Linked DNA regions of Oryctolagus cuniculus. The protein of the gene in region 1 purifies or fractionates together with the protein of each later gene. This does not show direct contact. Links are inferred from orthologs where the notes say so. Each region holds a gene or a part of one and is shown on either strand. Other genes may lie near its edges.

Region 1 (5,346 bases):
TTATAGTAGGACTTAAGTATTAAAAGACATAGGTGTATCAAGTCGCGCACAGTGAGCACTTGACAAATAGAAGCTTCCATTTGCTGTAACTACAATGTGCCTGACATTCATTACCTTACTTAGACCTCACCCTGACCTTGTATAGATCTGTTACTGTGGGACATTTATCAAAGGAGAAAAAAGTAGCTATGATAGCTTAAATAATCTAACCAGGACCACATCTTTAAGCAGCAGAAAAGAAGACTCAAATCCAGGTCTTTCTGGCTGGAAAACTATCAATGCCCATTGGTCTTGCTTCCCCAGGATTTGCACGGACTTCATTACTAATAAGTGGTGGCCTTGAAATCTCGTTTCAGTCTAAACTAATCTGGGCCAACCTTGCAGCTGGTGACCTACAAAAGTGTCCTATTATCCGTCTCAGGGGTACCTAGTTTATCCTGATTTATAAATACATCTTCATGTATTTTTGATCAAAAGACCTTAAGCAAAAAGTGCAGGTGCAAGGCATTAATACAGGAAAAGCGACATTCACCCTTCCACAAGAACTTTTTACACAACCCCTGCGGTTGCCAACATCCACTCGCACCGGAGAAGAGGCTTTATGTTCCTGGGCTTCCCTCTGAAAGAGGTTACTTGATTTTCTGAAGTCGTAGAAACCTTTGAGAAGAAAGCCACGAACTTGGTTTCCTGGAAAACCCCATAGATGCATTTGAGAATCTGCCACCAAGAGTTGCAGAACTCCAGGGTACAATAAGGTATACAAGAGTATCATCTCCCATTTACAAGGAATACAAAGAATCATGAATCACGTAACTCAGGCAACCAGTGGAAATTTCCACATCGTGCACGGGTGATGGCGGTGGGGGAAGGGGGGAGACCAGGCCGATCAAGGGAGTCGCTGCAAGTGGGCTCCGCGATCTACTCTCTATCCCCTTGGGAGAGGCCCTTAGCTAACGACCTTACCTCTCCACCGAAAGGCTGGGTCTCCCTCGCCCCTCGACTCAGTCCGCACTTCCACTTTAAATACAGCCGCGGGAGCGGGAGGAGCAATGACAACAGAAACCCCCTAAGGTCGCTGACACAGTGAGGGCTGGCCCCGGGGGACACCAGGAGCAGCACCCCCGCCTCTGCCTCCTTCCCCCTCCTCCTCGGGGACACCCGCTTCCCCTCACGCCCCGCCCCGGCGGGCTCGCCGCCTTCCCTAACACGTGCTCGCCGGAACACTCGCTTCCCCGAGCCATCCCACCCCCCCGCCCGGGGCTGGGCTCGGGGGCCGAACGGACCAATCGGCACGCGCCTTACAGCGCCGTGGCCCCACGACGTTGAGTCGCCCAATCGAAAGGGCCTTAGCGCCCGTTTCCCGGAGCCCCGCCCCTCGCAGCCGTGCCCCCGCCCGCCGGTCTCCTCCCTCCGCCTCCCCCCCCCACGGCCACCCCTCCCCCGCCGCTCGGGAGCGGAGCCTGCGAGACGGAGAAACTGGGGCAGAAGTGAAGATGGCGGCGGCGGCGGCGACGGCTTCTCGCCTGTGACGCGCGGTGCGGGCTTCTGTCCCTCCCCACCTCCCCTAATCCGGACCCCGTCCGCCGCCCGGTACCACAGCGTCCCCGCAGCCTGCCCCTCTCCGCCCGCCCCAGCCGCCCCTTCCCCCGACGCCCGGCTGCCGCTGGCGGCGGCGCGCCCCGGGGTCCCGGCCGCCGGCCTCGCACTCCCTGGCGCTGTCGCCGGGGGAGCGGGTGGCGCCTCGGTCCGCCCCGCCGGGCTGCCGGGCCGCGGACACACGCCCGGCAGGGAGGCGGCGGCGGCGGCGGCGGCCCCTGCGCCTCGGCTTCCCTCCATTTGGGGACTGGGAGGCGGCAGCGGCGGCGGCGGCTGTGGGTTTTGGGGAGGGGAAGGGGGTCCGGGGGGGGCGGGCGAGAGCAGGAGGGGGCCGTCCTCGGGAAGAGGACGAGAAGGAAGCGCCATGACGTCCATCCATTTCGTGGTTCACCCGCTGCCGGGCACCGAGGACCAGCTCAATGACAGGTAATAGGGACGGCGGGCCACGGGCGGGGGAGGGGCGCCTCCTCCCGCGCCCCTCCCCCACGGGCCGAGCCGGCGGCGCCCCTGTTTACGCGCCGGCCTCCTGGGGGTGTGTGTGTGTGTGTGTGTCGGGGGGGTCCTCGCTGCCCCCTCCCCTCCGCCAGGACCCTTCCGCCGTCAACTTCTCGACCCGGGGGGCTGGGGGCGCGCGCGGCGTGGACGGCGGAGCGCGCCGCAAGCCCCCTCCCCCTCCCCGCGAGGAGCGCGTGGAGCTCGGCGGGGCCGGGGGGCGCCGGTTCCTCACCCCCACTCCTCCGGGGCCGGGGGGCTGGGCTGGAATTGCCGCTGGGGCCCGGGCCCCGAGGAATCCATATTAGTCAAAGTTGAATTGAGACAGACAATGCGGATGGGGGATGGTGGAGGTGAAAAGAGAGGGAAGAGGAGACGCGGGGCCGGGGGCCCCCGGGTAGGCCGGCCGGGGCGGTGCGGACCCCGGGGAGCCGCGGGTTCCCGGCGGATCGCGGGCGGCGACGGGCGGAAGCGCCATGATTATTGTTATTATTATTAAATCTGAGCCCCTGCAGCGAGGTTCGCCCGCCCCGGGAGGGGCTGCGTGGGGGCGGGGGTGGGAAGTGGCTTGGATTCCCGTGCCTTTGAAATGGTGCTGGCAGCTCCGGCCCCCAGCCCCCGGGGTGCGCGCTTTGTTGTTTGCTTTTCCCCGAGTTGTAATCTGACAGCTGAAAACCGTGCGTGGCGGGTCGCAGGGAAACTCTGAGGTTCGCAGTTCGCAGCGCTGGGAATTTCTGGGCTGGGTTTGCTCCGGGCGGAGGAGGAGTGATTTTCTGTCTTTCATAAAGAGGCTGTTTGGGTTTAGACTCCTCTCCTGCGTCCTCCGGCGCTGCTGGCCGGTTTAGGATATTGAATTGCAGGGCCACACGCGCCGCGCGAGCCGAGATGAAGCAGGAAAAGTTCCCTCGCTGTGGCAGGAAGACGCTCCGGGGAGGCCGAGGGAGGCTTCCATTAAAGCGTGCCTTAGAGTCCGGGGTTCAGGCCTCGCGAGGGCCCAGAAGTGTGCAGGATCTCCGGCTCCCTCGGTAGGCCGGCTGGCCCCGCGATAGAAGTTAGACTCCGTTTTTGCTAAGTGACCGGGTGACTTACGGTGCCTGTCGCCCGGCTTGTCATGTGCTTCCCGGAGGGAGGGAGAGGCCCAGCTCGCTGGTTGAGATGTTGCCCTCGGCCTCCGGGTGCCCAGTCACCCCAGGTGGGGCACGAAGCCTCTCAGTCTCCAGCGGTCCTATTAGTTTGTGGCACTGGACTCGGGCTCGTCCACTCTTCGCCGTAGCCATATTGTGTGTCGTGTGTTTGTGAAACTTTCTGAAAATTTAACCACTGGGAGTTTGCATGTACTTCCTTCTCAACACTGGAACAGCCTCTATCAATTATTTAACATTTTGCTGTGATTCTTCCATTACAGATCTTTTGCAGACTCGGGGACTTTCTGTACATTTTAGAACCAGGCCAGTAGTGAAGGGTAGCTCTGCCGTCATTCATAGACCCAGTTGTTCCAGCTTGTCCCGTAACCTGCCTTCTAACATAGAAAATTGCACCGAGAGCAGGAGAGAAGTAGGGCATGTTTTCTGCGTTAGTCCTAACTTTGTTTACCAAGAGTCCTAACTTACTCAATTGACTGCGCAAATCAGAATCTATTTTGCAGTGTATGGGGCCCTTTGATTTGTTTTTGCACATTTCTTTGGCATCACATATTAACAATTAATGAATTAACAAGTAATGAATCCTTTTGAAGCTACTTTTCTTCTAGTATAAAGAAATAAGAAATAGTTAGCTTTACTTTTTATTCTTACAGAATCAGAATACAATATTAAGAATGAACATCTTGAGTTTTTTTTTTTTTTTTTCCAGTGAGCTAAAGGAGAAGACAAGTGGATTTGAGTTAGACTGTAACGCGTACAACAAGGTGGTAGATCCCTGAACAGATAGGTACTTTTGGGGATGTAGAGTTGTATCTGGTAGCTGCCAGTGGCCTGCATTGAGGACAGTTACGCACCCCGACTTTCAGCGAGAGAGCTGTTCTGTGCCTCCCCTTCAAAAGGAAAGGTCCTCTTGGCATTTCTGGTTTAAAATAATAAGCCACACATAGTGCATGAGATTTGTTTTTAGACCAGAGGCAGCAGTCCAGAATATGTTCATCTTCAGAAAAAAAATTTGCCATGTTTTAGTGAGTTTTGATACTAGAAAAGAATGTGCGACTCTAATTTTATTAATTTATTTGAAAACATTTATTTATTTGAAAAGCCGAGTTGCAGAAAGAACAACAGACAGGGAGATCTCCATCCGCCGGTTCACTCCCCAAATGACCCCAACAGCCGGGGCGGGGCCAGGCTGAAGCCAGGAGCTTCTTCTGGGTGCCCACGAGGATGCAGGGGCCCAACCACTTGAAGCATGTGCTGCTGCTTTCCCAGGGGCATGAACAGGGAGCTGGGTAGGAAGTTGGGCAGCTGGGGCTCACATGGGGCCTGTTGTGCCACAGTGCCGGCCATATTCCGTCATTTTAATATGAGAAATGTGAGCGTCACAAACGAAATGATAAATGATAGTTTCGAGTGAAAAGTTCTTTGCGCTAAAAGCAGTAAAAGCAAGCAATGTGGTACTGCAGATAAATTGTTCAGGAAAGATTTTAGGGCCTTAATCATCAATATCTTCTTCCCTAAATGAGTTTTCTTCCAATACCCAACCCCATTTTCTTCACTTTAATAGTAGTCCTGTATGTTAAAATGTGTGTTTTTTTTTTTTAATATTTATTTATGTGAAAGAGTTGCAGGGGGAGAGAGCTTTCATCGGTTGATTCATTCCCCAGATGATCTCAACAGCAAGGGCTGAGCCAGGCAGAAGCCAGGAGCCACAAGCTTCATCTAGGTCTCCCAGGCGGGTAGCAGGGGCCGAAAGGCTTGGCCATCCTCTGATGCTTTTTCTAGGCCATTAGCAGGGAACTGGTTCAGAAGTGGAGCAGCCAGTGCTCTGTGTGAGATGCTGGCATTGCAGATGGCTTTACCCGCTATGCCACAGTGCTGGCTCCTCAGACTTTGTAAATATGTGAAACATAACAACGCGCATCATATTTTTGTTTTTTAATTTGTGTCTTCAGACTAGTTAATGGTAATGAGGATGCATGAATGAAGTTGATGAATGCACCAGGGGATGGCTGTGGCAGCCAGAAGAGGAGAGGTCAGAGAGCCCAGGGTGTGGCCCTCAGTCATTCACTGAGTTGAATTGAAACTGTTCAGCCACTGGGAGACTTGCCTGATATTT
Region 2 (4,412 bases), on another chromosome or scaffold:
CTTTGGCTGGAAGAGTTTGAAGATTTGAGAAGTTTGTCCCTGCTAAGCTCGGCTTCAGCTATAATGGCCATAGAGGTTTTACAGGTGTGAAACACATTTTGCTTTCTAAAGATGGAAAGACTATTTGTGAACGGGCAAATGTAGGCAACACAAAAGCAGACTTTTTAGCTAAACATCTTACACTTTATAATACACTCACATTTATACACAATTTTCATGTTTACAAATACAAAAGGCAAAGAACCGCACACAAAGAATCAAAGCAACTGCATCGCCACCTGCACTTGATCGAGTTAACACTGTTGTCCCTGTTCCCCATTTTCTAACCCCAGAGGGAAATGGTAAAAGCCGTCCGTCCCACACGTGGACTCCACCGTTAGAAGTCAGAGACTGCGTGCAGTTCAGCACATGTCTGGGTTTCCACAGAGCTGAACTGAGACTCCATCGTGTTCCAGGCCAAGTCAGCCAGAAGAAAGTCGTCCATTGCCGTCTGAGTTTCATTGCTGGTGAAGAACAAGCTCCCCAGGGCTTCAAAACCAGAACTCATGGTCTGTGTCTCTGTGCTGTTCAGCTCAACCTTGCTCTCCAGGGCAGGTATGTTCTTCGAGGCACAGGTTCCCTCGGTCTGGGTCTCCGTGTCAGAGGAGTCAGTACTCATGGAGAAGCTGGAGTGTTTCAGAATGCTTCCCAGAGGCAGATGAGGGCTGCTGTCCAAGAAGAAGTTTAGGTCTGTCTGTGTCTGTGTGTCAAACATCTCAAGGCCTAGGAACTGAGAACTTGCCCTGCACCCGTAGGACGTGGCAGAGGTGTCGGCAAGGAAGAAGTCAGTTTGGGTCTCTATGTCCAGTGATTCCAAGACAGGTTCAGTGTTCATGGTGCTGAGTTCACTCTCTTCAGTTTGTGTCTGGATATTTGAGGCTGAAAAGAACTCTTCAATATCAAAATCTATTCCAGGGTTCTGGGTTGGGCCAGAGGGGAGCTGGGTGTCAGGCCCAGGATTCGTGTCAGGCAGAAGACTACGATTATCCAATGTCTGTCCAGGAAGATTACTCGACAAGATGTTTTCTAAGTCACTTAGTAAGTCCATGGTTTGGGTCTGATTATCTGTCATGTTCTGTGAAGGAAGCATACTGTTCTGAGTGCTGAAGTTTAACATAGGTGCCGATTTCTCAATATCTTGATTTAAAGTCTTAGGGTCATTCTGTGGCAGCAAACCATGAGTTACTGTCTCTATCATACTGTCTGTAGGGACACTGTATGATGACTGGACACTCTCAAAAATGCCCCCGCACATCCCAGTGTGGTCCATCTGCACGCAGTCCTCCGTGGGAGCTGGCATCCCACTGGTTTGAGTTTCTCTGGAGACCCCACCCGACTGGAAGCAAGGATCTAGAAACACATCAGTCTGGGCAGCTATCGACGAAGTTACCTTAGAGCTGGGCACGAACGTCTGCGTGTGAACGCTGATGGGGAGGGACACTTGAGCATCAAATGACAAGTCAGTCTGAGAACACGAGGACACAGCGCAGTCGGGGCCAGCCCACTGTGCAGAAGGCAGAACGCTCGGTGAGGCGTACGACAGGTCTGTCTGCACATTGGTTGAAGACAGGCTGTTCTTCTGACCTGTGTTCCCCAGTTCTTGTAAAACACTGGATGGGCCTTTACCCAAGTTCACTTGAACACCTGTACTAACTGGCTCAACAGCAACAGGACTTATGATTTTTGGGAGAGGGAGGCTCTCTTTAAGAGAGCAGGCCTCCGAATCTAGGCCGAGGATCAGGGTTCCTACTGACAAGGGCAGTAAGTGCACAGCCCCCGCAGCAGAGCCCTGATCTACACCTAACACCACAGGCTGGGCCGAAGAGTCGGCCGTAGGCACAAAGACAGGCACAGAAGAAAACTGCATCACAGGGAGTTTAACCACAGCCACTTTGGGCTTTGGTAACAGCAACTTCTGAGGATATCTTGGAGGTGCTGTTAGCGTCTGCTTTCTGGCGTTAGAGCCACAAGAGTCTTCCAGAGAGGCTCCCAGCTTTGTTTCTGAAGTTTCGAGTTCTTCAGGGGCTGGCCTGGGGGCTGGCTGGTTGCCTAGCGATTCAATGGTCTTATTGGACAACTTCTGGTTTTGTAAGCAGTTTTCCATTTTCCTTTTCTTACTAGGTGGATCCCTGAAAACAGTGACAGAGCAGGAGAAAAACAATTTGAAAATGCAGCTGTCTTTGACGATGACACTGCACCTTCACTTCTTCCCAACCCCCATCCCTCAACTATAGCAGAGGTCAGAGTCAACTCAGAGAAGGCAGGCTTCTTCTGCAATGTAGAAAACTGGGCCTAATTATGCTAGGCAGACGTTCAACAACACAGACAGGGGAGGAAGCAGCACACTTATTTTAAAAAAGTAAACTCTAAACATGAGAACTACAACTCAGGTCTTCAAGTGCAAGGAAGCTGAAGGATTACATATAATGTAAGTTCTATCATTTTGAAAACAGGTGGCTATTATATCAAATATAAACTGACCTTTAAAGTGAAATACAGTTTCATGAAAAAAAATTTATTTTTTCAGCAATTTGATATGCCTCTGATAGCTATTTTCAGATTGAAATTGGGACCCTCAAGGGGGGTTGAAAAGGAGAAAGGGGAACAACCAGGTCAAGGGCCCAGGCCGAGACACGGGTCCTTTCCCAGTACTGACGCTGTCTGCACAAATTCTCTTCCTAATCCTGCTTTCTCCCCACACCGCCAGCTCTCCAGGACACTGCACTGCACTCTTCCCAGAACTTGACTTAGTTCCACCATCGCGCTCCCCTTCACCTGTGTTCTGCAGGGATCTCGTGGCCAGTCCGGTAGATGTGGGACTGCAGTGCCGTTCTACTGGCGTAGGGACAGCCGCAGGTACACTGGAAGGTCTTCCCACAGTCCTCTGCGTGTCTTTTCAAGTCCCACTCGGTACCGTACGAATTGCTGCACTTACTGCATTTATGCTTCTTCTCAGCGTGCATCTTCATAAAGTGCTAGAAAAACAGAGAAGGGGCTGCGGTTACCACGTGCTGCTTCTCCTTACCGCCTCTGCTGGGTGCAGAGTGGGACGTCTGCTCTAGAAACAATCCGCACAGCCAGACGTGCAGCCTTTCATGTACAAGTAAGTGCTACAGGGCAGGAATCTGTCTGTGCCAGGAGACCCTGGGGCAGCATTTCAGAGCCAATTTCCTGCTGTCTCAATTCCCCTCTCCTAGGAGGCAGCTTCCAGATGTTCTCCGAGGCTGCACAGGTGCTTCCTGGGAGAACAGCGCCTGTGTGCCTGCATCTGTGACCTCTACAGGCTCACAGATCCACACAGGAGCACATTTTCTCATTCTTGGTTGAACTAGACCAAGTCTGAAGTCTCTTCCTCTCCAAACTCACTTCTGGACGTTTTCCCCCAGAATAAGCCTTGTTTCTCTCCACTGGCATCACACCCATACACACACCATGGTCAACAGCTGGGAGAGGCCTGGCCATCTGCTCTCCAAAGAGCGTTCTGCTCAGTTCTCTGGTTACATCTGCTCAGTAATTAGAATGCACACTAGGTTTGGATCACATTTCATCCTCAGAGAAGTATATTTAAGTAAAATACCTGTTTTACAAGGGAAAATTGAGAAAATGGTCTGTCGGGGCCTCTGGGGCATCCTTCAATTGGACAACAGTAGAATTTCGGTACAGTTTTCAAATCTTTTCTTATTGTTGGATTTACTATGCCATCCTGCAAAAGGAAAATCAAATAATTATTTTCAAAAAAACCAACAGAACAGGCTGGTAATAGAAATAAGGAATAACTGAAAACAGGCACGAGGGATCTTTTTAGGGTGATGAGAATGTGCTAAAATTCAGTTGTGATGATGATTATACACCTCAGTAAAGCTAAACAATGACTGACTTACATGAAATGGGTGAATTTTACAGTGTGTAAATTATAGCACTATAAATCATTCAAAATTATCAAGAAACCCACTAAACTACGTTTTTAAAAAAAAATCTTACTTCTATTTCTTTCTTTTTTTTCCCAAAGATTTATTTATTTATTTATTTATTTGAAGGTCAGAGTTACACAGAGAGAGGAGAGGCAGAGAAAGAGAGAGGTCTACCATTTGCTGGTTCACTCCTCAGATGGCTGCAATGGCTGGAGCTGCACTGATCTGAAGGCATGAGCCAGGAACTTCTTCGGGGTCTCCCACATGGATGCAGGGGCCCAAGCACTTGGGCCATCTTCTACTGCTTTCCCAGGCCGTAGCAGAGAGCTGGATGGGAAGTAGAGCAGCCAGGATGTGAACTGGCGCCCATATGGGATGCCGGCGCTTCAGGCCAGGGTGTTAACCCACTGTGCCACAGCACTGGCCCTCTTAATTCTACTTCTTTAAAAGTGCTCCTCTGGG

What was found. Proteins that work in one complex are often made in the same cells at the same time.
Region 2: the proteins of UBR5 (region 1) and ATMIN purify together in Homo sapiens (affinity purification with western blotting; 3 studies listed by BioGRID). This does not show direct contact. The link is inferred for Oryctolagus cuniculus from reciprocal best matches to the Homo sapiens genes UBR5 and ATMIN.

Annotation. Positions count from the first base shown.
Region 1 is NC_091437.1:127,732,660-127,738,005, reverse strand, and holds the start of UBR5 (E3 ubiquitin-protein ligase UBR5), read left to right. Parts: upstream 1-1,833; 5' UTR 1,834-1,960; coding exon 1,961-2,022; intron 2,023-5,346. UniProt on the Homo sapiens protein: E3 ubiquitin-protein ligase involved in different protein quality control pathways in the cytoplasm and nucleus. Mainly acts as a ubiquitin chain elongator that extends pre-ubiquitinated substrates.
Region 2 is NC_091449.1:63,246,486-63,250,897, reverse strand, and holds part of ATMIN (ATM interactor), read right to left. Parts: intron 3,743-4,412; coding exon 3,617-3,742; intron 3,015-3,616; coding exon 2,815-3,014; intron 2,169-2,814; coding exon 377-2,168; 3' UTR 1-376. UniProt on the Homo sapiens protein: Transcription factor. Plays a crucial role in cell survival and RAD51 foci formation in response to methylating DNA damage. Involved in regulating the activity of ATM in the absence of DNA damage. May play a role in stabilizing ATM.